Mus musculus: one gene and its partners. The main gene of each other region encodes a partner of the protein of the gene in region 2 in a complex. Links are inferred from orthologs where the notes say so. Each region holds a gene or a part of one and is shown on either strand. Other genes may lie near its edges. The genes, in order: Ppfia1, Phldb2, Ppfibp1 and Erc1.

What was found.
Region 1: Phldb2 (region 2) and Ppfia1 share a complex: the UniProt entries of both Homo sapiens proteins name them as parts of the cortical microtubule stabilization complex. The link is inferred for Mus musculus from reciprocal best matches to the Homo sapiens genes PHLDB2 and PPFIA1.
Region 3: Phldb2 (region 2) and Ppfibp1 share a complex: the UniProt entries of both Homo sapiens proteins name them as parts of the cortical microtubule stabilization complex. The link is inferred for Mus musculus from reciprocal best matches to the Homo sapiens genes PHLDB2 and PPFIBP1.
Region 4: Phldb2 (region 2) and Erc1 share a complex: the UniProt entries of both Homo sapiens proteins name them as parts of the cortical microtubule stabilization complex. The link is inferred for Mus musculus from reciprocal best matches to the Homo sapiens genes PHLDB2 and ERC1.

What each region holds. Positions count from the first base shown.
Region 1 is NC_000073.6:144,483,342-144,489,442, reverse strand, and holds part of Ppfia1 (liprin-alpha-1), read left to right. Parts: intron 1-183; coding exon 184-246; intron 247-725; coding exon 726-752; coding exon of another isoform or gene 753-812; intron 813-4,231; coding exon of another isoform or gene 4,232-4,234; coding exon 4,235-4,410; intron 4,411-4,501; coding exon 4,502-4,599; intron 4,600-6,101. UniProt on the Homo sapiens protein: May regulate the disassembly of focal adhesions. May localize receptor-like tyrosine phosphatases type 2A at specific sites on the plasma membrane, possibly regulating their interaction with the extracellular environment and their association with substrates.
Region 2 is NC_000082.6:45,822,561-45,828,661, reverse strand, and holds part of Phldb2 (pleckstrin homology-like domain family B member 2), read left to right. Parts: intron 1-1,435; exon of another isoform or gene 1,436-1,501; coding exon of another isoform or gene 1,502-1,520; intron 1,521-2,566; coding exon of another isoform or gene 2,567-2,580; coding exon 2,581-3,903; intron 3,904-6,101. UniProt on the Homo sapiens protein: Seems to be involved in the assembly of the postsynaptic apparatus. May play a role in acetyl-choline receptor (AChR) aggregation in the postsynaptic membrane.
Region 3 is NC_000072.6:147,023,177-147,029,277, forward strand, and holds part of Ppfibp1 (liprin-beta-1), read left to right. Parts: intron 1-2,338; coding exon 2,339-2,461; intron 2,462-2,978; coding exon 2,979-3,104; intron 3,105-4,131; coding exon 4,132-4,320; intron 4,321-4,326; exon of another isoform or gene 4,327-6,101. UniProt on the Homo sapiens protein: May regulate the disassembly of focal adhesions. Did not bind receptor-like tyrosine phosphatases type 2A.
Region 4 is NC_000072.6:119,573,986-119,580,086, reverse strand, and holds part of Erc1 (ELKS/Rab6-interacting/CAST family member 1), read left to right. Parts: intron 1-4,324; coding exon 4,325-4,462; 3' UTR 4,463-6,101. UniProt on the Homo sapiens protein: Regulatory subunit of the IKK complex. Probably recruits IkappaBalpha/NFKBIA to the complex. May be involved in the organization of the cytomatrix at the nerve terminals active zone (CAZ) which regulates neurotransmitter release.

The DNA of each region.
Region 1 (6,101 bases), on a different chromosome or scaffold from region 2:
CTGAGCAGTTGCTGCCAGAGTATAGCTTCTGGCAGGAGGGCTGGGCTCATGTGGCTTTTTATCTTTTTCTGTGAAGAGTGGCCTTTGCCTCAGGCTCCTGTGCCTGAAGTTTATTTGTGTGCCCTCTCCTCTCTGTCATGCTTCCCTGGCCCTGGGATATGGCTGGTGCACTGGGTACCTTAGACCACAGGAAATGTCTGGTTGACACATGAAGAGATGGAAACGCTTACAGCCACGCCACAAACGGTTAGTCACTGCAGCCTGCGTTCTCAGGGCACGTGTTGTGTCAGACCAGCTTGGGCTTTGGCCTTTTCTGTTGGGAATGAAGGTGTTAATGTTCAGTTGTTTCACAGACATGTCCCCTCTTAGGTTATCAACTAAGTGTACAAACTGGAGTTTGTTTTGCTTTAGTTTTTTCTTTCCAGGATCTTACAGTTGCTGCAGATGTGCTCATTTAGATAGAATTGATTTGCCCTCGGGACAGAGCTCAGTTTAGCACCCGACTCTGATAGTGGAACCCAGCTTTTCCCTCTTACTGATATGCTGGCATGGAAAGGGTGTGTTTCTTGCATGAAAACCCCAGGCTGCTGGTGCTGCACAGACTGCATGCTGCTGCGATCCCAGCATGCTCATGTGTCCAACCATCCATGATTGCCTGCTTGCCTTACCATAGCTTACAAACACTAACGGTTTGTTCTTTTGCATTCCTAACCATGTAACATCAGGAAGACGAGGAGGGAAGCTGGGCTCAGGTTGGCATCTTTCTCTACCTACCTACCTTCACTGTGTGGCAACAGAAAGTTTCTGGGATGGTAAAGCTTGGAACTTGTCTTTCTGGATATTCTTAGAACCCCAGTCTGCTCTGTGTGGTTAAAGCCCAGGGCAGGCTTGGCAGCGTCTCATGGACAACTTTGAACATTTTCACAGGAGCCTTTGTGGTGGCTTTTCATGAGCACAGGCTTCTGTCGATGTGGGGTCCTTCACACAGGAGCCCACACCTTTTAAGAGTGCGTGCAGAATTCCCTGCTGGGACGACTTTAGGTTTCAAGATCTCCTGGTAGAGAAATAAAATTTGCAAACCTTAGAAACATTATGCCTTTCCTGTGTCTCTGTGTTGATGTCTTACTGAGTGCTGCCCTAATACTGAATAGATTTAAAGATCTCACTGGGGGAATTCTAAGAGGTGAGGCTTCTTCCTGTCTCATGGGTGTTTGCATTTTCCTGCTAACGTTTTTATTACATTTAGGTATTTGTGTTTATCTGTCTGTGTGCACATGCCATAGTGAGGTCAAAGAACAATGCAGGAGTGTCAGTTCTCTTCCCCATGTCGGTTCCAGGGAGGAACTCTGTTTTCAGACTTGCTGGCCAGTGCCTCTGCCCACTGAGCTCTCTCACTGTGTTTGCACTCTCAGTCCCCAGTTCTTTACTACCCAGGGAGCTCTTCCTAAGTGCTTTGCCATCTCGCATTCAGGCAGCTCAGGTGAATGACAGTTGTTCCGTCCCTGGATTTTAGCAGCTTTATTGCTGAGGTTGAGCTATGGGCCTGGGCAGGTAATATTCTTAGTTTTCCCCACCACAGGCAGCTACCTCTGTCTATATCGATGTCACTGTGATGCAGAAAGGATACAGGCTCTGGTCCACTGCTCTTCCTTTACTTTGCTTCTCCCTGCCATTACTCAGCCTAGCTAGCAGTTCCTTACAGAATGGGCAGTCAGGATGGTCAGCTGGATACTTTCTGATGATCACAGGGCACCTCACATGTCCACACACAGTGATTCTAGTTCTTTGTAGAAATAGATGCTTGTCTCAGGCTAGGAAGTGTGAGCAGCATGCTTTGCAATGGAGTGTGAAAGAAGGGGCTTGTATCACTCGCTCGCAATTCTCTTCCCAACTGAGCTGTTAGGCAAAGACTTCAGCCTGCTCTCCCACACAGGATAGACTGTGGACACTGAGGAACCATTAATAAGAGGTGTGGCCATGATCCTACTTTGTAGCCTAAGTTTTGCTTAGTCTGGATTGTATCTGTGCTGTGCAGCGTTTTCCTCTGTCCTAGGGCATCTGGCTCTGTGTGCCTCCCTTTCCTAGGTTATCTCAGCATCCTAGGAGAAAAGGAGAGCTCCCTGGACTGAGCCCTCGCTGCAACGGCCACCACAAAGAAGTGATTGGTGTGCTTGGGAAGCATGCAGATGGGACAGTGCTGCCTCATTTGGCCCTTTCTTTATAGGATCTTCTTCATTCTGCCCTTCCAAGAATGCAGACCCAGGCCAGAAAATAGCTAAGGGTCCCAGTGCTGATAGACAGTGACATCTTGTGATGATCTAGAGTGCTTAGGGACAGTAATAGAATAGTTCTTTTAGTAGAGTGTCTTTGTGCCTTGGCTGGAGCAGGTGAGCAGTGGAGGGAGGCTGTTTCTATTTCCCAGCATCAAGTCACCTGCTCTCTTTGCCTGCAGTGTGCTCATTTCCACAGGACAGACCTGTTTAGTCACTAGAAGTGATGTTTTTAACCTAGGTTTCCAGTTGGTTCTTAGTCTATAGAAATGGGTCCCTGTTCATACTGCTTAGCACCACCCGGGTCTTGGCCTGGGGGCTGTTGTGCAGCTTCCTGTCTCAGTTGGTCCTGTCCTTTGTGAATGACAGGGCTGACTGACTTCCTTCCCTGCTCGATGGTTTTGTGTGTCTTGTTGCCTTGTGCTGGTGGTTCAGTGCTGGGAGTTACTGAGGGCACAGCTGCACTTCTTGTGGGTAAGCATTCAGTTCTTCCCCTCCGCAGGTGCTCTGTGCTGCTTGGAGGTAGATTCACCCATTCCCAGAATGCTGAATTCTCCACAGTGAATGGGGGAGCCTTTCACATGGTGTTTCTGGGTCTTTTTTAGTATTATGCTTTTCCAGTTTCTTGATATACAAAATTTCCCAGATTATGTTCCCATGACAACAAGCCTCTCAGCATCAGGTATTTTAGTATGTTGTTGATTGACTTGATGACATTATAGATTCTTGCACTATTATTTTGGAAGTGTTTACAAATGTTTGGAAGGTATTTAGATGTTTCTAGCCATTATTTATCCCTTTGAGACAAAGTCTTGCAGTGTTACTCAGGCTAGTCTCTGACTTTCAGCTTCCCATCTTGGCCTATTGAATAGTTGGAGGAACTATGGATATGTGACCCTGTATTTGGCCAATTGCTGGTTTCTTTTTTCTCCCATCTTTTCCACCTATCTTTACTGGATCTTGCCCTGTATCCCAAGTCAACCTTCAACTTGCAGCAGTCCTCAGACCTCAGCCTCATAAGTACTGGAATTACAGATTCTGGTTCATTTTTTTGAGTCAGAAAATACTGTGCAGTGTCGCTTCTAAGCATATTGAGAGCTGGGGAGTCATCACTCTGTGGCCAAGTTGTACATGAGGCCTGGTTCAGTCTGCACCACACCACGCCAAACACATCTGGATGTGTTATGGGGCTGTGCAACCATCATCCACGACTTGGGAGGTTGAGCAGCCCAGAAAGTTGACTATGATGTGCCAACCTTGAGATGGTGGCCTCCAGGACCACATGGGCTGGTGGGATGGAGTGTGAGGCTTTGCATCCTGTCTTGGGCAGTATGGTTGTCCCCTCTCAAGAAAAGAAAGGAAGTTTTCTGGTGTCAGGTAGAGAATTCTGGAAAACCTAAATAGATGAAGTTAATTGGTAATTGTTGCTTCAATCTGTACCGTGCTGAGTCTTTTCAAGGAAAAGCTGCTTTATAGCACTCCTCTCCTTTGTGCTTTGGATGGAAGGAGTATTTATGGCTTGTTTCTAGTTGTGCATTTGTCTTTTTCTTCACTGAATCCTGTTAGCTATTGGTTTGTCTCTTAAAATTTTTTCTAATCAACTTTTACTGGTTTTTAAATAGACATTTATGAAAAAGTGTTAAAACCGAAGTCAAAACCAGTCAGAGATCATTTTAATGAGTCAAGTTGAACCTGCCCTTCAAACTTGTTCATGAGTCGTGGTCATTCTTAGTTGTTATATTAACAGCTCTTCAGAAGGGGCGCTGCAAGTTGGCTGTGGTTTCCTTGTGGCTTGTTTAGATAGGTTATGACTTCTAATGACTCCTTTCGTCTGAAGTCTCACTAACTCTTAAGTGATGGGGATGGGAGATTGATTGCCCAAGAGTTACCAAGTCCAGTGCTGTCATTAGTTTAGTCTTCAGAAAATGTGTCCATAACTAACGTCACCCTCTTACTAAAAGCAGACTCTAGCATATGGGGACATGAACCACGAGTGGATCGGCAATGAGTGGCTGCCCAGCCTGGGCCTGCCGCAGTACCGCAGCTACTTTATGGAGTGCCTTGTAGATGCCCGGATGCTGGACCACTTGACCAAGAAAGACTTGCGAGGGCAGCTGAAGATGGTCGACAGCTTCCACAGGCAAGTGCTCACTCGCCATGCTTTTCTCTGCCTGAGCCTTGCCCTGTTGCTAGCTCCACATAATATCTTTTTGTTGTGTCTTTGTAAACAGAAACAGTTTCCAGTGTGGAATTATGTGCCTGAGAAGGCTAAATTATGACCGAAAAGAACTGGAAAGAAAAAGAGAAGAGAGTCAGAATGAGACAAGAGGTGAGTTCCCTACCTGGGCAATGGTCTGGCTTCTGCTGCTCGTGCTCCAGCTTCAGTAGGGTGGAGCATCTGCTGAGCAGCACTAGGAAGAATCCTGGAGGGCTTAGGTGGAGGCACTGGCCTAACCTGAGGAAGATGGAAAGGAGTGATAGAGAGCTTGCCTGTACAGTCATCAGTACTGGTACTTTCCCTGTGAAATTAGTGTGTTATCCTTTGGTTATGTGCGTCCTGTGTAAATATCAACATATTTCCAAATGCAGAACAGTGATGAGTCTGCTGCATACTCTCTGGGATAAGTATGAAATGCATGGTTGAGGGTATTCAAGGGTCTTGATCCCACAGGAAAGGTAGGCGGCCCCAAGGCTCCCCTCAGCCTGCTCTTGGAGGATAGCAGCATGGACAGGAGGACATACAGAAGCAGAACCGGCTGCAGGGCCTTCTTCCCTGCCGCAGCAGCAGTGATGGAGACAGTTACTTGCTTGAAGAGACGTCAGAAGTCAGGAAGTCATTGATGATTTTAGCAGTGGTTCTGAACTGAGTGGACACTCGATGTTTTAGTCTCTGTCACTTAATCTCTTTCGGCTCACCGCAGCCCTAGAAATGTTTTTAATAAGAAAAACAAAATATGAAAAAGACGAGATGTGTCCAGGCAGTGGTGGTGCACACCTTTAATCCCAGCACTCCTGAGTAAGCAGAGGCAGGAGGATCTGTATGTATTTGAGGCCAGCCTGGTCTGTAGAGTAAATTCCAGGACAATCAAGGCTACACAGAAATCCTGTCTCCAACAACAACAGCAACAACAACAAAAAAGAGAAAAATGGAAACAAACTGCACATCTGAAGGTCAATTTGTCCCATGCTGTTGCCTGAGTCTTGGGAATGGCCTCTTTTTCAGAGCAGCATCTGGGGTCAGAATGTTGAATCTGCTGCACTATTTTCTGTGGCTCTCTGCCTTCCTGCATTTGACAGGAACTGTCTTTGGAAGTGATTGGGCATATTTTTAGACTGACTATTCTTAGCTCACCATTAGTGCTAATGGAATACTATACCTGTTACAAGGTGTGGCCTCCAGAGCCTCTGTGCTAGAGAATGTCTTTTAGTTTCTTTGTGAGTACTGGGCATGGTGACATATGTCTGTGATCCCAGCACTCTGGAAGCTAAGGCAGAAGGACCATGTTAGTTCAAGGCCAACTGAGGCTCCAAAGTGAGACCCAGTCTTAAGAAAATAAATGAGAAATACATTGAAGATATTTGCATCATATGCTGGCTAGTTTCATGTCAACTTGACACAATCTAGAGTCATTAGAAAGCAGGGGGCCTCAGTTGAGAAAATGTTCCGATAAGATCTAGCCATAGGAAAACATGTAGAGCATTTTCTTAGTTAGGATTGAATGAGGGTGGGGGTGGGCAGCCCATTTTGGTAGTACTGGATTCTATAAGAAAGCAGACTCAGTAAACCATGGGAGCAAGCCAGTAAGCAGGGTTCCTTCATGGCCTCTGTCT
Region 2 (6,101 bases):
TAAGGGGTGGAGAGATGGCTCAGAGGTTAGGAGCACTGACTGCTCTTCTGAAGGTTCTGAGTTCAAATCCCAGCAACCACATGTATATAATTTTGAGCCGGGTATAGTGGCGCACACCTTTAATCCCAGCCCTTCGGAGGCAGAGGCAGGCAGATTTCTGAGTTCAAGGCCAGCCTGGCCTACAGAGTGAGTTCCAGGACAGCCAAGGATATACAGAGAAACTCGGTCTCGAAACCCCCCCCCCCGAAAAAAAAACAAGGTGTAAGAGAGACCACAGTCTAATATTTTATGTCACATTGTTATAAGAAAATTAAAATGTAAAAAATGTAGATTGATATGAAATCACTAGTAATATTACCACCCCAGGAACAATCAGTAGTAACTTTTAATGTGAATTTTTTTCATCCCATTGTTACTGCTGTGGGAGAAAGGTAAACACAAGGGGACAAATGATGCTGGGTTCTATGGGGACTCATCAGTGAAATAGCAAGAAGCATCAGATTTAAAATATGGATGAAGGATGGTGATGACTAGGCTTGTGGATAGAAGCAGTGAAAGAGAAATAGACACAACAGAGGAGGTCATGATGACTCTCCAAATCCTGATCTAAGTGCCTATAAGAAAACTACTGGCTGTGCACATTATCTGCTCAATGTGTGTGTGTATACATATATATATATGCACATGTATGTATATATATATATATATATATATATATATATATATATGCATGTGTATATGAAAGTAACTATACTCATTGAATGTTTTTAATGTATGTGAGAATATATTATACTACAAAATATATTTTAAATGTGGTATTAAATGGTTTCACACTGTTCACTCCTGTGATGAACCATAGCTTTTCCACATATCACTGGGCATTTAAAGTTATTTCTTCTATATTATAAATAACCCTGAAACTCTTTAGGGCCCATTTCTTTTCTTATTTTCTCAATTCTGAAATATTTATGTTGGGAGAACTGGCCGAGACATTAAAATTTCAAAATGGCAAACCCACCAAGGTCAAAATGAGTTCAGAAAAAGACTAAGGCTAAGTGAGGGTTGTCTTACCTTCACTCTGACAAAGCATGGCAAGAAATGTCACAAGTGAGACTGATGTGGCTTTCAACTTTGGAACTGGAAATAACTGATGAGGGCATTGTCTTGGGGTAGAGGAGCACTGGCCACAGGCCATGAACTGCAGGGCCACAACTCACTGAAATCCAAGTATTAGGCTTAGCTCTGATGATTTGTGTGGATTTCTAAGCTATTGTTTTGAAATATATCATTTTAACATACATTCAAGTAGAGCTTTGAAAGACAATGAATCCAAGGCAGCATTTCATGGGGGTGGGGAGAGACTGTAGCTCTCTTGGGCAATTCCTAGCACCACCTGGATATAAAGCAGGGACATTTCCTTGACTCCTGCCTGTAGGGGAGAAGCATTTCCATGCTGAGAAGACTGAATTTCCCTGGAGAAACATGATGCTAAGCTAAGAGAATGAAGTCTTCCCTCTATGGTATGAGGATGTGTGTAATTGAAAAATGTTTTAAGGTTTTTTGTTTGTTTGTTTGTTTGTTTGTTTGTTTGTTTTCCTATAGAGCGATGGAAGTCAAGGAGATGAATATAAGAAAAAATTCTACACATAATCTTTTCCACCAATCATTAGTGTCTAAAGTCCCCGAGGGCTGGAGGAAAGTCTTAGCCCTGCATGTACTTACTGAAGTCAAATTATGTTTTTCCCTTGTTAATAATATAAAGATAGTTTCTTTTAATATAAGCCTTTTCACTTTCAGGGCTAGTTTTAATTCAACGAAATTTTCATAGATTAAAATTTTAAGTCAATGTTGACTCTCAGATCTAAAACCCAAAAATATATACTTATTTTTTTTTTAAAAAAATACTTATGGAAGATAGAGTCCTATTTTATCCCTTGAGTGATGGGTTAGACTTTGGTAGGTAGAGCAGAAGGCACACGGTGTTTTTGTTAGAAAAGAGAGCTCACTACCAAGGACAAGCACAACACATTTTGGATGCCAAGGAATTTGAAGAATAGAATAATTTAGGGCTTTTAAATGTGCCATCTTGACCATGGGACAGCAATCTTGGGAACACCCTTTGATCCAGTGTCTCTTATCTCTTACCTTTTTCTAATGAGCTTTTTGCTGTCCACTTAAGAAGTAAACTTCTATCCCTTCCCTACAAAAGAACCACACCCTCACATTCTGGATCAGTGTATAACATAAACTTTCTTCCTCTGTCATGACATGAGTATTGTTTCTTCAAGACTGTTTCTGAGCTGATGATGAGTCTAGCAGAAACATTTAAAGGAAAAACAATTTGGTGGTTCTCTTAGGCACATAGAAGATATTCAGGAAGACAGTCGTTCTCCAGAGACTGAAACACTGGGCGCAAAATTCTTCTCTTACATACCAACCTAATCCTGAGTCATTATTTTACTAGGGATTTGTAAAATATATCCCTGAACAGAAGTCCTTATTTTTCACCTTTTGGTACACTTTCACGTGTGTTTAAACTAAAACTTTCTCCTTTTCCCCTTTACAGGATCCAGCCATATTATGGCAGAAGATAGCCACATGCAAAAGCAGCTGGAATTCCAAAATGGTAGCTTAGAGGAAGGATTTGTGGTACGTTCCCTGGAGAACGAGCCCCAAAACATGATGGAGAGCCTAAGCCCGAGGAAATACTCATCAAGTCTGAAGTTTAAAGCCAACGGGGACTATTCTGGCTCCTATTTAACCCTCTCCCAACCGGTGTCTGCCAAGAGAAGCCCTTCTCCAATGGGCACCAGCGTCAGGAGCAGTCCCTCCTTGGCCAAAATCCAGGGAAGCAAACAGTTCTGCGATGGAATTGATAAAAATATTTCCATGAAACCTCCTATTTCTTTCCTCAGTTCTGCAGCCTCTCTTGGCGGCTATCCTCTTGGGAAAGCAGATTTGGATCATTATACTGGTCGAGACAGTGAGAGGTCCACCAGGCTCTCAGAGAAGCCTCCCTATTCCAGATACAGCTCTAGGAATAAATCTCATGACAGTGTCTACTTTCTAGGGGGGCTGGAAGGAAGAAAAACCTCTGGCTCGCTCCTGACCATGTGGAACGGAAATTCCTTGAGCTGCACTGGCTCGTCACCCATCAGCAGGTCTGGGGCAGCGAGCATGCCTTCAAGTCCAAAGCAAGTCAGGAAGATGAACCTTCAGGACCACTCGACACTTCAGCCCAGGTTAAGCAGGCACAAGGAGCCGGCCTCAGAAAACGTCAGTGTGAGAACAAGGAAATACTCAGGGAGCAGTCTGAGTAATATGGGTGCCTACAGCCGATCGCTTCCCAGGTTGTATAAAGCCACAGACAACCAGATGTCGCCTCTCAGCCTGCCTCCAAGAAGTTCCCTGGGCAATTCCAGAAGAGGTCAGTTAGGAGAAAAGGATCTACCTCATAGCCTAGTGGATAGTGACAATTACCTTAACTTTTCTTCTCTAAGCTCAGGGGCTTCACCCTATAAAACCTGTCTGTCAGAGGGAAATCCTTACGTAAGCTCCGCCCTCAGTGTTCCTGCCAGTCCTCGTGTGGCTCGGAAGATGCTCCTGGCCTCCACCTCCTCTGATGACTTTGATAGGGCTTCATACTCAGGGACCAGCCCAAGTCATTCCTTCATTTCTGGAGAGCCAGACCGAGTGCTTGTGGCCAGGAGGAACTTCTCTTGTGGATCAATGGAGCTTGATGACTCTGATCTGGAAAGCCTAAGACAGTCGTCAGAAACTCCGCAGCCGGTCCTTCGAGAAAGGAAAAGTAGCATTAGCTCCATCTCGGGACGCGACGACCTGATGGATTATCACCGAAGACAGAGGGAGGAGAGACTCAGGGAGCAGGAGATGGAGCGACTGGTAATCTAACTCTTTTGACTTCACCGTTCCCCTGACTTGCATTCACAGGGCTGGCGACAGACACCAAGGAGTCCATTCCACATGGAGAGATGGAATTTCCACTGGACCAGCCGCAGTCCCTCCTACTTCTTGCTCTCTGTCCTATAACTCTGTCCTATAACTCTTTCTTATCTATTTTTTTCAGACATTTTTGGGCATTTTGAAACTTCCAGAGCTCACTAGTGCCAGAGCCTTGTGTTTATTTAGTTGTTCTGCAGAGTTCTAGAGTCCTTTTTCTATTCTCTTCTCTACCTTACCATTATTTTCCCCCTTTCTTTCATGTGCTGGGGATTGTACCCAAGGGCTTGCACAACCACTAGAAATCCTGGGAAAAGCTAATGTCTAGTGCATTTTGCTGAATTTCTTCTATCTTATGAGCTTTCTTTTAAGAACAGGAGGGGGTGGTGGTGTTGTTTACATCATTAAGTTCGATAGTATATACTTAAGACAGACAGTCGGTGAGATAATAAGGCAAGAATTTGTCAGTACAGCAAGTCATCTGGAAAGCCAAGCTTTGCCTCAATCTCCGTGGTACTCAGTTTTCCCCACACAGTTCACATAATGCCAAACTCCCATCAGCTGTGCCTCTGACTTCACACAGCACCACCAAACTCCAAAAACAAAATGCCTTGAGTTCATTCTATTTTTTTTCCAGTCTAAAACCAGTTTCTGCTTAACGTAAAGAACTAATTGGACATAAAAGAACAATGATGGAAGAATAAATTCCTCAACAGCCCTGCTGATGAAGGAAAACATTCAAAGGCAGTTTTCCACTCCCTTTTTAGTGGGTTTTTATTTCAGAATGAGTACATGTCAGAGGTTGTTTTTTCTTCGCTGGTGATTAATGGTCTCCTTAATGAGAAAAGCTATAGGGTGGCAAAGCTGCTTTCTAAAAGTGTAAAGATTATCAGAGGTATTTTAATTGCTTTTTAAAATAAAGTATGTTGGAATAAGATTTCTCAATCGTGGAAAAATTAATGAGGGCCTACAGTACAATAAAATTTATATTATATGGATAGAAACCATCTATACTATGCAACATCTGTTTGACAGTTGAGAAGAAGAATCACATATCACTCAAAGTTTTGGTTGGTTTATCCCATTCCTAACTAAAAGCACTGGATAAAAATATGTATGTATTAAATATTACCCTAGGTAATTAAATATTCACTGTGCATATCACTTAGCAGTCCAGCATTACATTCCCTTTGTTGTTATAAGTTATCATTATTCATTATTATAAAAAAAAACACTGTGTCTAGGCTTGGTCCATTGACATAATTCAGAAGGTAATTCAGTTAGCAAACAGACATCTTATCTCTGGACAGTAAACAGTCCTACACTGTGCTAAACAGCTATTACTAATGACCTCAGATAATTAACTTTGATAATTTATTAGAAAATCTAGAAGAGCCTTTCCTGTGGGTTCTCTCATCCTAGAGATCTTCCTTTATCTACACAATGGGTCTTGTATCAATCACAAGAATGGAAAACCGTCAGGAACCTCATATGCTTTGAGTTTCATCTTTAGCATATGGAAGTGTTGGTGGATTTCTCTGTCCTCCATATTCTCCAAATCTAAGACTCCTGACAGACCCAGTAGTGACTTTCCTTGTTGCTTGCAAGGCTGAGATGCTATGAACCATGAGCAAGGTCAACTTCTTGGGAAGCCTTGATGATATTGTTAGGAATATACTTGAAATCCCTTATCCTTAATAATGGCTCATATTGTATAAAATTAGGCTTATCCTATCTCAAGTGATCATGTTGAATGATCTTTCTATTACTTTTACTAACTGTCCAATGTAGACAGTTTATAAAGAGTCAAGGTCTTCCTGGCTTGCAGTTTTGTATTCAGATGCCCCAATGTTTCTGAGCAATGCATCCTGGCAGGGAACACATGATGGAGCAAAACTGTCCACCTCCTGGCCATGACATGATAGAAAGAGGAAGATACCAGGGTCCCACAATCCTCTTTAAGGATACAAAACCAACAACTAGACCTTCTCCTACTAGGTTTTAGTTCTGAATGTCCGCCAGTCCCAGTAGCTTTAAATACATGGCCATTGGGATGCTGAAGCTGATGTCATTGTATATTAAAGGGGAAAAAATTAGCTCATTCAAAAATGGTAAAATTTTGTCTTTTTAAATATAAAAGA
Region 3 (6,101 bases), on a different chromosome or scaffold from region 2:
AGCTTGGCGGGGACATCATGTAACCTTGCATGAGTGACCATAATGAGCTTGGCATAGTTTATAGCCGCTGTCTTTTTTAAGAACCACATTTATGGATTCTCAGTAACCCTTTAATACTATTACATCTCCATTCTTGAGACTAAGAGACAAGGAGCTGAGAAGTTGGGGAATGTAACCAGTTGTCCATGGTTACTAAGTAGCAGGAAGCCATAGAGAATTTGAACCTAGGCTGGTTCCAGGTCCTTCTTTGCATAGCGCACTATTCCACCTGGGACAAATACAGTGACATTTGACCTGCTTCTGCCCACGTCCATGGGGTCAGATGTCCCGAGGGAATGTGAGCAACCTCAACTCAAAAGTCACAGGAAGCACTTGTAAGACCTGCATGCCTGAAAGACATGGAGTGACACTGGAAAGAGTGACCTGTGATTCCTAAAAGGAAAGTCCCTGTTAGGATCTGGTTCCCTGGGTTGGCTCCAGGAACAGAAAAAGGATCTTAGTAGGAAACTGGCAAAAAACAGGAAGTAAAAAAACAGTTTGGGAGCCAGTGAGATGGCCAAACAGATAAAAGTGCTTGCCTTGCTAGCTTGACAGCATGAGTTCTATTCCTGTGACCCATGCCAAGGTGGAAGGTGAGGACTGGGGCCACAGAGTTGTCCCCTGACCTCTGTGTGTGTGTGTGTGTGTGTGTGTGTGTGTGTGTGTGTGTGTGTGTGTGAGGGGGGGAGTGAGAATGGTGTACATGTGAGCTTGATATGTGTGTGTATATGAGAGTGAGAAGAGCTTGATGTTTGTGATTGTGTGAGAGAGAGCTTTGTACATATGTGTGAACTTGGTGCATGGGGGGAAGACAGACAGACAGACAGAGGGGAAGAGAGGAAGAAGAAGAGGAGGAGGAAGAAGAGGAGAGGAGAACAGAGCTTGGTGTGTGTGTGTTTTCCTCCACACACACCATACACATGAACTAATGAAAACAATAAGCCTTAAAATTGGCAAAAGCTGAATAGAGTCTATACTAATTTTATTTGTGTTTCTTAATTTTGATGTGTGCCATAGTTTCATAAGATGTGAATATCAGGAGAAACTATGAAACACAGAATTCTACACTGTCTAGAAGCCCCTAAGTCTAAAATCATTTTAAAATAAACCATGTGTTTATTTATTTGCTATTTTTAAAAAATAAGATCTCACTGTGTAGCTCTGGCTGTCCTGGAACTCTCTATATAGCCCAGGCTGGCCTCAAACTCACAGAGATCTGCCTGTCTCTGCTGCCCTATTGCTGGGATTAAAGGCGTGCGCCAGAATGCCCAGACTTAAAAAGGGTTTCAAATGAAAGTAATCCTTGTAAAAAAGAAATCTTTCAAATATATTTCAGAAGTAATTAACATTTTATTTATATTGGAAACAGTACACATTTAGATGTTTCTTAATCTGATAGACTTTAATTAAATGAAAGTAGCCTATACTGAAGTGTTTGGAATGAGTATCTCAGTCTTAGATCAAAATGTTAATTGCTTTTTCTAATGTATTGTAAGACGCTAATTTTAATAAGCTAATCCTGCAAAAAAATTAGGAAATAATATTTGCTTGTTAGCCCCAAGAATAAACTACTATTTTTTTTACTCTTAAAAATATTTTTATAGAAACTTAATCTCTTTTATTTATTTTTTTCCCCAAGAAATATGTTATCAGTCACAGTGTGCTATGTACCTGCATGGGCAGCCTCTGCTTATTTTCTGGGTGTGTTGATAAGATTTCTCTCGGCACTGCCCTGACATCACTTACCGCTGAGATATTTGTTTAGGTGTGTGGGGCATGGTTGAAATTGCTCCCGGTACCCTCAGACTGCCCAGTGTTTCCTTGAAGACATTTATTGGTGATGTGTTGAAACAGAAGTCTCCATTTCTTCTCTCTTTTACTATTACCCAAACCCTTATACTGAGGGACATAATTGTTTTCAACATTGGTCACCAAGTCTGCTAGGTGAAGCAGTAATCCTAATCAGGGGACTTTGCAGGCCAGGAAAGCTGACAGAAGTGTGCTGAAACCACGGAAAGCAGCTTGGCCGCTGACCTTCAGGCGGGGCGGGACCTGATGATACTATTCTATCAGAACACCTAGACAAGTGATAAAGACTTGTTAGATTTGGGGGAACAATATAAATTTGAGGTTCTAGAGAGGGATTTGTTGAGAACAGAAAAGGAGTTCTGTTATGAAATGAAAACTGAAGTCACAAGCAGAGTGATTGCACTCTCATGGCAGAGTTGTAAGATTCTCCAGGGCGCCCCCTCCCCCCTGCTGTGGGCCAGCACAGTGAGCTCCTGTTTCTCCTTTGCAGGATGACCTACTGTCCCTGAAGGTTGTCAGTGTGCTGCACCATCTCAGTATCAAAAGGGCCATCCAAGTGCTGAGGATCAATAACTTTGAGCCAAACTGTCTAAGGAGGCGGCCGTCTGATGAGGTAGCATCTCCGATAAGAAGCTTGCACATGTGAACGGGGCAGTCCATGTGTGGAAAACTTGGAGCCATTTTCTCTTGGAAAGTGTAGAAAGAGCTGGTTTCCTCAGAGCTCAGATCCAGAGTCACTGACTTGTGGACTTTCCTACGTCCCTGCCTTTTGTACCCATAAAGCTTCCACTGTGTAATTGAAGCCAAACGTTGTTTTCTGCTTACTCTTGCTTCCTCCTGTTCACAGACTATACTTTTTCCTGCCACCTCAATCCACGGAGTAAAATGTCACTGTAAATATTTCCTTTACCTTTTCTTACTGCTTCGTAAGAAAGCTCGAATCTGTGGTACATGTTCTTTCAAAGAGCAGTCAAATTAGCAAACACTTATTTGGCCTTTCCTTTGAACACTTCACAGGACACCGGATAGTATGCTCCATGGGCCAGGCCTGTTAGACTGCGTGTGCAGGTTCAGTATCAAGGGTCCTATCATCAACACCTAAAGTGTACAGTATCTGTTTGTTTCCACAGAATAGCATCACCCCATCTGAGGTTCAGCAGTGGACCAATCATCGTGTGATGGAGTGGCTTCGCTCTGTGGACTTGGCAGAATATGCCCCCAATCTCAGAGGCAGTGGTGTCCATGGAGGGCTCATGGTAAAGCTCTTTCAGTTTGAAATTGATTGCTTGGTTGGTTGGTTTCCTTTAGTCTAAAGGGTGAGCAGTCTTGGTCTGAAATCTGCATTGCTTTAAAATCTGTAAACTTTTGTTTCCATGTCACAAGTAGAGTATTCTACACACAGCCATGATAGAATAGCTTTGTGTGCTAGAAGAATTGCATCAAGTCACCATGATGTGCCTATGAAACATAAGTGAATCTATGTTGGGATTTGGATTCTACCCCCAAAATTAAATTTCACTTCATGCTGATATTCCAAACTCTGAACACCGGTTCCAAGCATTGCAGCAAAGGACACTCACTGTACATCCATTTGTTTTCAATAATCCTGGTAACCCCAACCGTCCCAGGGTGTTCCCTGGATTTCACTTGCAGAGCAGTTTTAGTGTCTTTCTTTAAATTAGGCTTAAACCCATTTCTTTTTTATTGCTCCTCACCACTGAGTAACACCCAGCCGTCTCTCATGTGATCCTGGTCTTAAACTCCTGCATGTGTGTAGACAGTATTTCTGCACACCAGTGTTCCATGAGCAGTTGCTTTCAGAGGCAGCATTCCAAATGGAGCTGTGCTGCTGCTATCCCCTGAAGCCTGGGTTACACATGCCTCTCTCGGGCACAGTGATATGTGAACTAAAAATCAAAGTTCAGGCTGGAGAGACAGCCAAAGCATGGTTGCTCTCGAGGAATTGGGTTTAGTTCTCAGTACCCACATGGTGGCAATAACAATCTTTAACTCCTCTTCCATGGCATCCGAGACCTTCTTCTGGCCTCCATGGGCACTACTGTACACACAAGGTACACACACACACACACACACACACACACACGTAGGCAAACACTTTTACACATAAAAAAATTATTTTTAAAAAAACGAAAAAAGAAAATCCATACCCTGGGCTGGGGCATTGGGAATTACTCATGTCAGCGATTTTTGCAGTGTGAAGTACCTCCATTTCAACTGTGTATAAGCTATGATACTTTTTACCAATCCCAATTTTTCTTACAGGTTCTTGAGCCTCGTTTTAATGTAGAAACTATGGCCCAGTTACTGAACATTCCACCAAATAAAACCTTGTTGCGCAGACATTTGGCGACCCATTTCAACCTTCTGATTGGTGCAGAGGCCCAGCACCAGAAGCGAGATGCCATGGAGTTACCGGATTATGTACTGCTAACAGCCACTGCCAAAGTGAAGGTTGGTTCAGGATTTTGGCATTTAATCATTGTCCGACGTTTGCAAAGGCCCCATTATTCCACTTTCTAAGATGTACTCAGTTTTATTAATGAGTTTAAAATATCTGTATGTACACATATCTATAAATTTCAAGCCCAATTAAGGGATTGCATGTTTGAAAGTTTCTGCTGAAGTCATTTGTGTTATTAGAGTCGAAGAAGATGTGGTCAGCTTCTGTTGTCAGTGTATTTTGCCAATGCTGAGGACTCTGACGTGAGTCCAGTCTGCCACTGCAATGTTTTTGCTTTTCCCGTTGGTAAAAGGAGAAGTTAGGGTGAAAATAAGTGAGTAGAGAACATATACCTTGCAGGCGTGTGGTCTGCGCTTGACCCCGGGACTGCTGACAAGCAAATGGACCAACAAGAAGGCTTAGCTCCTGAGTACACCTTAGCTCCCGTGGTTTCTAAGTCAGAGAAATCTTAAGAACAGAGCCAAATCTCCTCCAGCCGGTGGGTAGCTACCATCATGGTGGTCGAGCTGTGCAGTTTCAGCTAGTGCAAGATTTACTCAGGGCACTGGCAGCAATACACCAGGATCCATAGGAAGGTTTTCGGGTTTCTTAATGTAAAATGTGAGTCAGCATTCCTTTCCAAAAGAAATGCTCTGCAGATAAACCAGTATATCCTCTATAAAAGAAGCCATAAAAGAGGATAATTGGAAAAAATTCAAATGAAAAGTATCTGCTATGCAGATTCATGCAGGCCATCGTTGGCACATCACCTGAGGATGTAAAGGCCAAGAAGAATCAGAAACCAGAAGTTAGGATGCTCAGAGAGAGCAGGCTGTCAGGGCTGCCAAGGGAGCAAAGAAGGCTAAGCAGGCATCAAAGAAGACAGCAAGGGCTGCTGCCAACATCTCACAAAGGCTACACCTGAACAAGAGATTGTGAAGGTTGTTGCTCTGTGGGTCGGTGGAAAATGCTAATTTAATAGATCAGAATTTTAAATGAAGATCCATCTTTAATTCAAAAAGGAAGAGAGTCAAAACCAGAGGTTGTGATACCTGCCTGTAATCCAGCATGCAAGAGTCTAAGGCAGGAAGACTGCAAATTCAAAGATGGTCTGAGCTATATATTACAGCGTGGGTGGTTTTTACTTGCCAAGGTTTGAGGCTTGTGCCAAATTCAGATTCCCTCTTTCTTCTTTTGAGATACTCCCACATCAACTTATCTGTATATTATTTTCACATCCTTAATATGAAGACAATTAATGAGTTCTCCTAGAAATGTATGCTGAGCTCTTTTTGTTTTTACCCTGTCTGCCTTCCTAGCCTTCTCCTGGGGGACTGTGTACTGATTACGATGACATTTCTCCCCTAAAGATCAGTGGACTCTTTCTCTCCAAGGGTGTGAATTCTTTTCCACTCATCAGTCCTACTATTAAGGAGAACAGGCAAATGAAGTAACCCCAGCTTTACCACCTGCCTTCCCTTCCTGTCTCCCTCCCTCCCTACTTCTCCAACTTGGGATGAAACCTAGGCTCTTAACCATATTAATCCAGTGCTCTAAAATTGATGGGTACACCCCAATCTGCCACTTTTCAATTTTTTTATTTTTATTTTATTTTTTAATTGTGAGTCATGCTCTTGTTAAGCTGCCCAGGCAGTATTTAAGCCTGTGGCTCTCATGCCTCAGCTACTGAGTAGCTGCAGTTGCAGGCAGGCCCATGCCACAAAGGCCCAGTGAGGACCACTGGCTTTCACTGATCTTAGACTGAATAGTTTTGCAAAATTTGGCTCATCCC
Region 4 (6,101 bases), on a different chromosome or scaffold from region 2:
GGAATAAAGGCGTACGCCACCACGCCCGGCTTATAGGTGTTCTTTATGTATTATACTATTAGTCTGTGTCCCATGCGTGCATTGCAAACATCTCCCACCCATCAGCTGCTTTTCTTTCCTAATAATGTCTTCTAAGAGAAAGTCCTTAGTTTTGTTTTGGGTAGCTTTCTTTGGTTTTGTTTCATTTGAGTTTTCTTGTTTGCTTGTTCATTTGCTTTGTTTTAGTTTTAGTTTTTCTTTTTGTTTTTCTTTTTCTTTTTTTTAGTTTGGGACATAAGACCTTACACAGGCAGGCTGACTTTGGTCATATTAGCTGATGATGACTTTGAACTCTTGACCTTCCTGCCTTCTGAGTGCTAGAATTGCAGGCCTGGATCCACACACATCTGGCCTTTAGTTTTAATATAAATTAACTGTTTTTCTTTTTTTCGTGGTGAGTGTTCTTTTGTGTTCTATTTAAGGAATCTATGCATGATAACTTTGGCATTGTATATATTGATGTTGGAAGGGTACAGAGAAGACCAGCATGAGACTGATTGTATTTGCAAAGTGTCCTGTTTTAACCTTCACATTCAGTAAAGATGTCATGCTGTTTTTTTGTGTTTGGTTGCTGTTTGGTTGGGTTTTCTGAGACAGGTTTTTCACTATGTAGCCCAGGCTGTCTTCAAACTTTCAATCCTCCTGACTCAGCCTGAATGCTAAATTTATAGGCATGTGGCATTGTGGCTAGCTCTTCTGTTTTCTTTTAAATATCTTCATGGTTTTTTATTCAGACATACGTTTACTATCCATCCGGAACTGATTTTGTGTATGATTGCAATATGGATAAAAGTTTTCTTTCACATAGCCCCATGTATCAGAATATCCAGCCTTTCCCCTCCACACAGGAAATGCCTTTGTCATAAAGCAAGTGGTCATGTTTGTATAGGGTTTTCCCTGAACTTTTTTATAGACACAGCTGCCTAAGATTTGGGGGGAGGGCAGAGTGGGGGAATTGCACTGACTCTCTGAGTTAGTTTGAGCAGAATTAATACAGTATCAAGTCTCTAGTTTTTGGACATGTTATATCCTTCCATTTAAGACATGTTTTGCTTCTGTAAATATACTTAATAGTTTTTAGGTAGAGGTTTCACTAACCTTCCAAGAAAGCAAGTTAGGTGACGACCATTTGTGCCATTCCCCATACCAGCTGAGAGTGCGCTTTTGAAGAGTTTGATGACGAAAAGCTGCAGTCAGCTTTAAAAGATGTGGTTTCAGGGGTTCTTTTCACGATGGAGGAAAGGGACCTGAGGGGGTGGCCCAGAGGGTTCAGAAAGAAGGAATAAAGGGTACACTGGGGTCATTTTGAGGAAGGGTATTTTGTTTGTGACGTCACCTGGTAGCAGAACTACACTGTCATAGGCACTATGCCCTTGCCTCTAGGCAGTGTGGAATGGTTGCGGTCCGGCTTGCTGCTCTCCTGTACTCCAGTCTGCATTGGGAAATCTTGGTTTGTTTTAGCAGAGTACACTTCGCTGTTTTCTCTGCTGGAGATAATGTCTCTATATCCATTCTTCAGTTTCAGTCTCCCCTTCCGTTTCTGAGTTAGGTTAGGGTTTAATAGAAAACAGTTCTCCTACACACACACACACGCACACATTCTACAACAGACTTGACTTCTAGTTATCCTCTGTCTTAGTCAGGGTCTGACTAATACAACCTCCGACATCCCAAGTAGCTGGAACCCCAGGTGTGTCCCACCACACCAGTTTTTCCATGGAATCTTACAGTATCCACACAACTGAAAGGACATTTTTTGAATGGATATTTAAGAACTTCAAGCTTAAGTTACAGAAAGGTCTGACTGATTCATGGGAACAAACTTAGTTTTGCAGGTTAGTAAAACTGTCCTGTTCAGAAATGTTTGTGGTGTCTTTGCATGAAAAGATTTTAACACATACAAAGAAAATTATGTGTAGAGAGGAAGTTACAAGCTACCTACAAATTATGATGAACTATAGAAACCGAACAAACAGTCACAAAAGCCCTAGTATTTTTCACTATAATATTTACAGTAAGGGAGTTGGTTTGCCATTCCATAAAATAGAGGATGTGTGTCAGCTCCCTCCCCGTAACAAGCCTGTCATCTCACAGAGAAAGGAGGCATGCTGGTCTCCGCTTCAGAGATTGCACTCACGAGCAGTTGCCATATTGCTGTTGAACCTGTAGCAGGGCAGCTAGTGCTCATGTTGTGGCTGGAGTACACACACACACAAAGAAAGGTCAGCCCAAAGTCCCACAGTCCCCTGCAAAGGCACAGCTCCTCCTAGGAGCCTAAAACTTTGGACCCCTTAAAGGTTCAGCTATCTCAGTAATGCTCCCATCTGGTGCCAAGCCCTTAGCACCTGACTATAGATCAAGCCCTCTAAAACCATGAGCTGAAATAAGTCACTCCTTTAAAGTGGTTTGTGTCAGGTATTTTGTCGGGGGGGGGGGGGGCGGAGAACTAATACAAAATCCAGTGGATACTATGATACTAATATAGTGCCCTCTAGCTAGTGTGTTTTATAGTGTTTTTACTTTCTTCTTTAACATATCCTTGTGGATGCTGGGTTCGCAGCTCAGCCATAGTGTTTGCCCAGCATGCACTAGGCCCTAGAGCCCATTCCCAAGGTCAGTTATGTGCCAGCTTTGGAGATTTGATTTGGAAGTACAGTATATTGTTAGGTGAAAATGGATTAGTTTAACTCCTGTCTTGAATCTTTTAAAGATGCACTAAGGCTTAACGTGGTCTAAATATGGTTCTTGAGCCTCCAGATCAGGGTCAACAGTCAACAGAAAGAAGATTGCCAGTCTCCTCTGATGGCTGCACTTGAGAAGTACCAAGCTCATTCATGGCTCAGAATGTCTAGTCAACAAACAGTGGGGTCCTGAAAACTTGGTTCTCTTTGCCACTTAATCTACTTTTTCTGGGTCATCTTCTCCGCTTGATAACAGTAATTACAGTAGTTAACCTTTTTTCAAGAATTTTCAGTGCAGTGGGCATTACCCTGCCTTTCGTATGAGATTGTCGTTAAATCCTCTAATAAAACTGCCCTGTGAAAATATTACTGGTCTATCCTACTGAAGGGGAGGGAGGTCAGGGTCACATCAGCCAATAAATGGCAGAGCTGACACTGAGATCCAGGCTGTGTTCCAAACTGGGACCTGAACTGTACACTTGACACTCAGTTTCCAGTTTCCCTCCTCCCTCCCCTGGAACCCTGCCTTCTACAAAATAGAAGCAGCTCTTCTACAAAATATTTTAGAATTTGAGAGCCATGTTACCCACTCATTCCGCGCTAGCCCATCACAGGTGGTTTCTGTTCTCATGGGTGCCTCTTCTGTCCCCTGTGTGAGTCTGCCTTGTGCTTACAAAGCTCACCCCTGGGTGTTGCCTGCTGCCCACTGATCTGCTTTTTCCTAACCTTCCAAGTCACCTTCTAAGAAGACGAGAGCAGGGCCAGTGTGTCATTTAAAAGCACATGATTTCCTTGTAGTTTGCACCAGTTGGGGTTTGCGCTCTAGCTTCTCTTGGAGTCTGGCCCTTGCCTATCTCTTCAACTCCATACCCCCACCCCCACCCCCACCTCACTGTAGGATCCAGCTTACCCGAGGTTCCTTTGATCTGCCTCTGATCTCCCAAGTGACCCAGATCCTCACCACCTTTAGTGGCTTCTCATACGGCCCAGAGTGAAGTAACCATGTGTCTTCTCTCCCAGTATGTCCTCAAGCCTCTGTGTGCACTGGACTGGGTTGTGACTTACATGTTGATGTTCTTGTCCTGCTGTCAGCCTACAAGGAGTTTCAGCACAGGGTCTCGCTCCTCGGCCTTTCAGACCTCACACAGGGCACTGGTGACGCTAGTTAGAGGAGGACAGTCCGGGGCAACTGAGAACAGCACATTGGGGGTGTGTCTCTCCTCAGCAGTGGGCTAGGATATCTATCAGAATAACCAAGCTGCCTGAGGCCCCTACAGAAACACAGCTGTTTGTAGCAAAGGGAAATCTTTGTGGAAGAGCTTCACACAAAGTTGAGATCCTCAATCACCCAGGCCTGTGAGTCTGGACGCCTGGGCACAGCCATCCACATGAAGTCAGCACTGGATGTTACAGTGTGCAGCCTTGGACTCAGCACTGACTCCTCTGGGCCTTACTTTCATGAAGAGAGTCTAGGAATGTGTGTGTTTTGAACATTCCTTTTGATACAGGGACATCAACTCTGCTTGTCATTTCTTTCCTGATGAATTCCCACTCGGTACAAATAACCTGAACTCCACCTGAACCCTGCCTCTTTTCCCTTTCAGCTTCAGAACGAGTTGGAGAAAGTTGAAGGGGACAACGCCGAGCTGCAGGAGTTTGCCAACACCATTCTCCAGCAGATAGCCGATCACTGCCCTGACATCCTCGAACAAGTGGTCAATGCCCTGGAAGAGTCCTCCTGATGTGCTCCTGACAAGGAGGGTGACCAAGGAGCCAGAGAGGGAACCTGAGGAACAGGTGTCTGAGCCGCCACCACACCAGACTCTGCCAGCTGGATGTGCCAGTCCGGCCGTCGGTGTCTGTCATCGTACTCTGCCTTCTGCTTTGAATGTTGCCTGCTCAAGTCTCCCTGGTCTCCATGAAGAACTGCCCTTGGCATCAGCAGTGGAGTGCTGCGAGCTGCACTCTGCCCTTCCAGAAACAGGAAGCCAGAAGCCACTCAGCTCATCTGGAGCCCACTCAGATTCCGTGCTCCGGGAGCTTGGAGCTGAAGCTTTAGCACGAGTGCTTTCTCCTCAGAGGGTTACAGAAGGAGGGAGGAGGTGACCAGGGACAAAGAGAAGAACGAATACTCCTCTCTGCGCCCGCGCTGCCCTCCTGTTTACCATCATGAGCCCCAGGTACAGGCCAGCTTCATGCAGCTTAGCTCTCAGCCTGTTGCCTGTCTCACCTGCACTGCTTTTAGTTGACAGGAGAAGGATGTTCACAGTGGTCACCCTGATCGCTCTTTAAGTCCTTTGACCTTCCCATGCTACATTGGTAGGCTAAATGTCTGACTGAAGAGAAGAGGGCTTAATTTGTAGGGCCCTCTTGTCACTGCCTGCAGTTTTGTTCCTCAGAAGCTGTCCTGGAGGGCCAGGCTGATTCCTCCTGAGCATCACCCACAGTGCTCTCTGCTCCCAACACCTTGCCCCAAGCTGCTGTTGACCAGGGGTTGCTAGAGTATGTGATCCACTGCCCACCTTCTCAGCTTTACTCTCAAGATACAACCACAGAGCCACAGCCTTGTACCTGCCTAGAAACTTCTTTTGGCACAACTGAGTTTGTCTTAATGCACACACATTCCCTCCTCCAATTCATTCACTCAAAAAATAGTATGAAATGCCTACTTGTGTGCACATCCATGTGCACAGTGTCATCCTTGGAAAAGCCTCGGATAGGGATGGTGTGGAAGCCCTGTGAGATGTGCTCAGTTGAATCATGGCAGTGAACGCATACCTTCTCCCTTCCTTCTTCGCAGACCAGCATTCTTTGTTCTCCACCCTCATGGCATCTATGGGCTTGGGTGAGCCACCTCTCTGCCTGGAAGGTCCCATGTGGTAGGTCAGGATCTTTGCTGTCAGTGTTACTACCCTGAAACATGTTCGTTTGTGTCAGCTGCCTGCTTAACACAGCCATGCACACCTCATGGGCTTGGCCATGCTGCAATCAGATGCAGATCCCCCCAACCCCATCCCCAGCTGTAGAGGACAGCTATCAGATGGAGTCGGGCCCTAAGAGAGTGCAGCTCATGTCTCATTCTTCATCCCTGAAGCAGACTCCTGACACTGCTGTCTTCTGGTGAGAGGCTAAGGCCTCTCAGCCTGCATCTCCCCTTCTGCCCAGTTAACACTCTCAAAGGAATTTAATGTTGCCCACAAATCTCTCTCACCCTCAACCTAGGACATCATGCGGCCACTACTGTCACAGTCACAGCCCTAGCTCCCCTTCTTCCCTGACATGAAGTGTTCCCTTGTATGGGATGCTGGAGAGAATTCCTCGTGAGGGTTGGGTGGCCTCTGCCATGAACCTCTCATGGAGGTGCTTTTGGAGGTCCCAGCC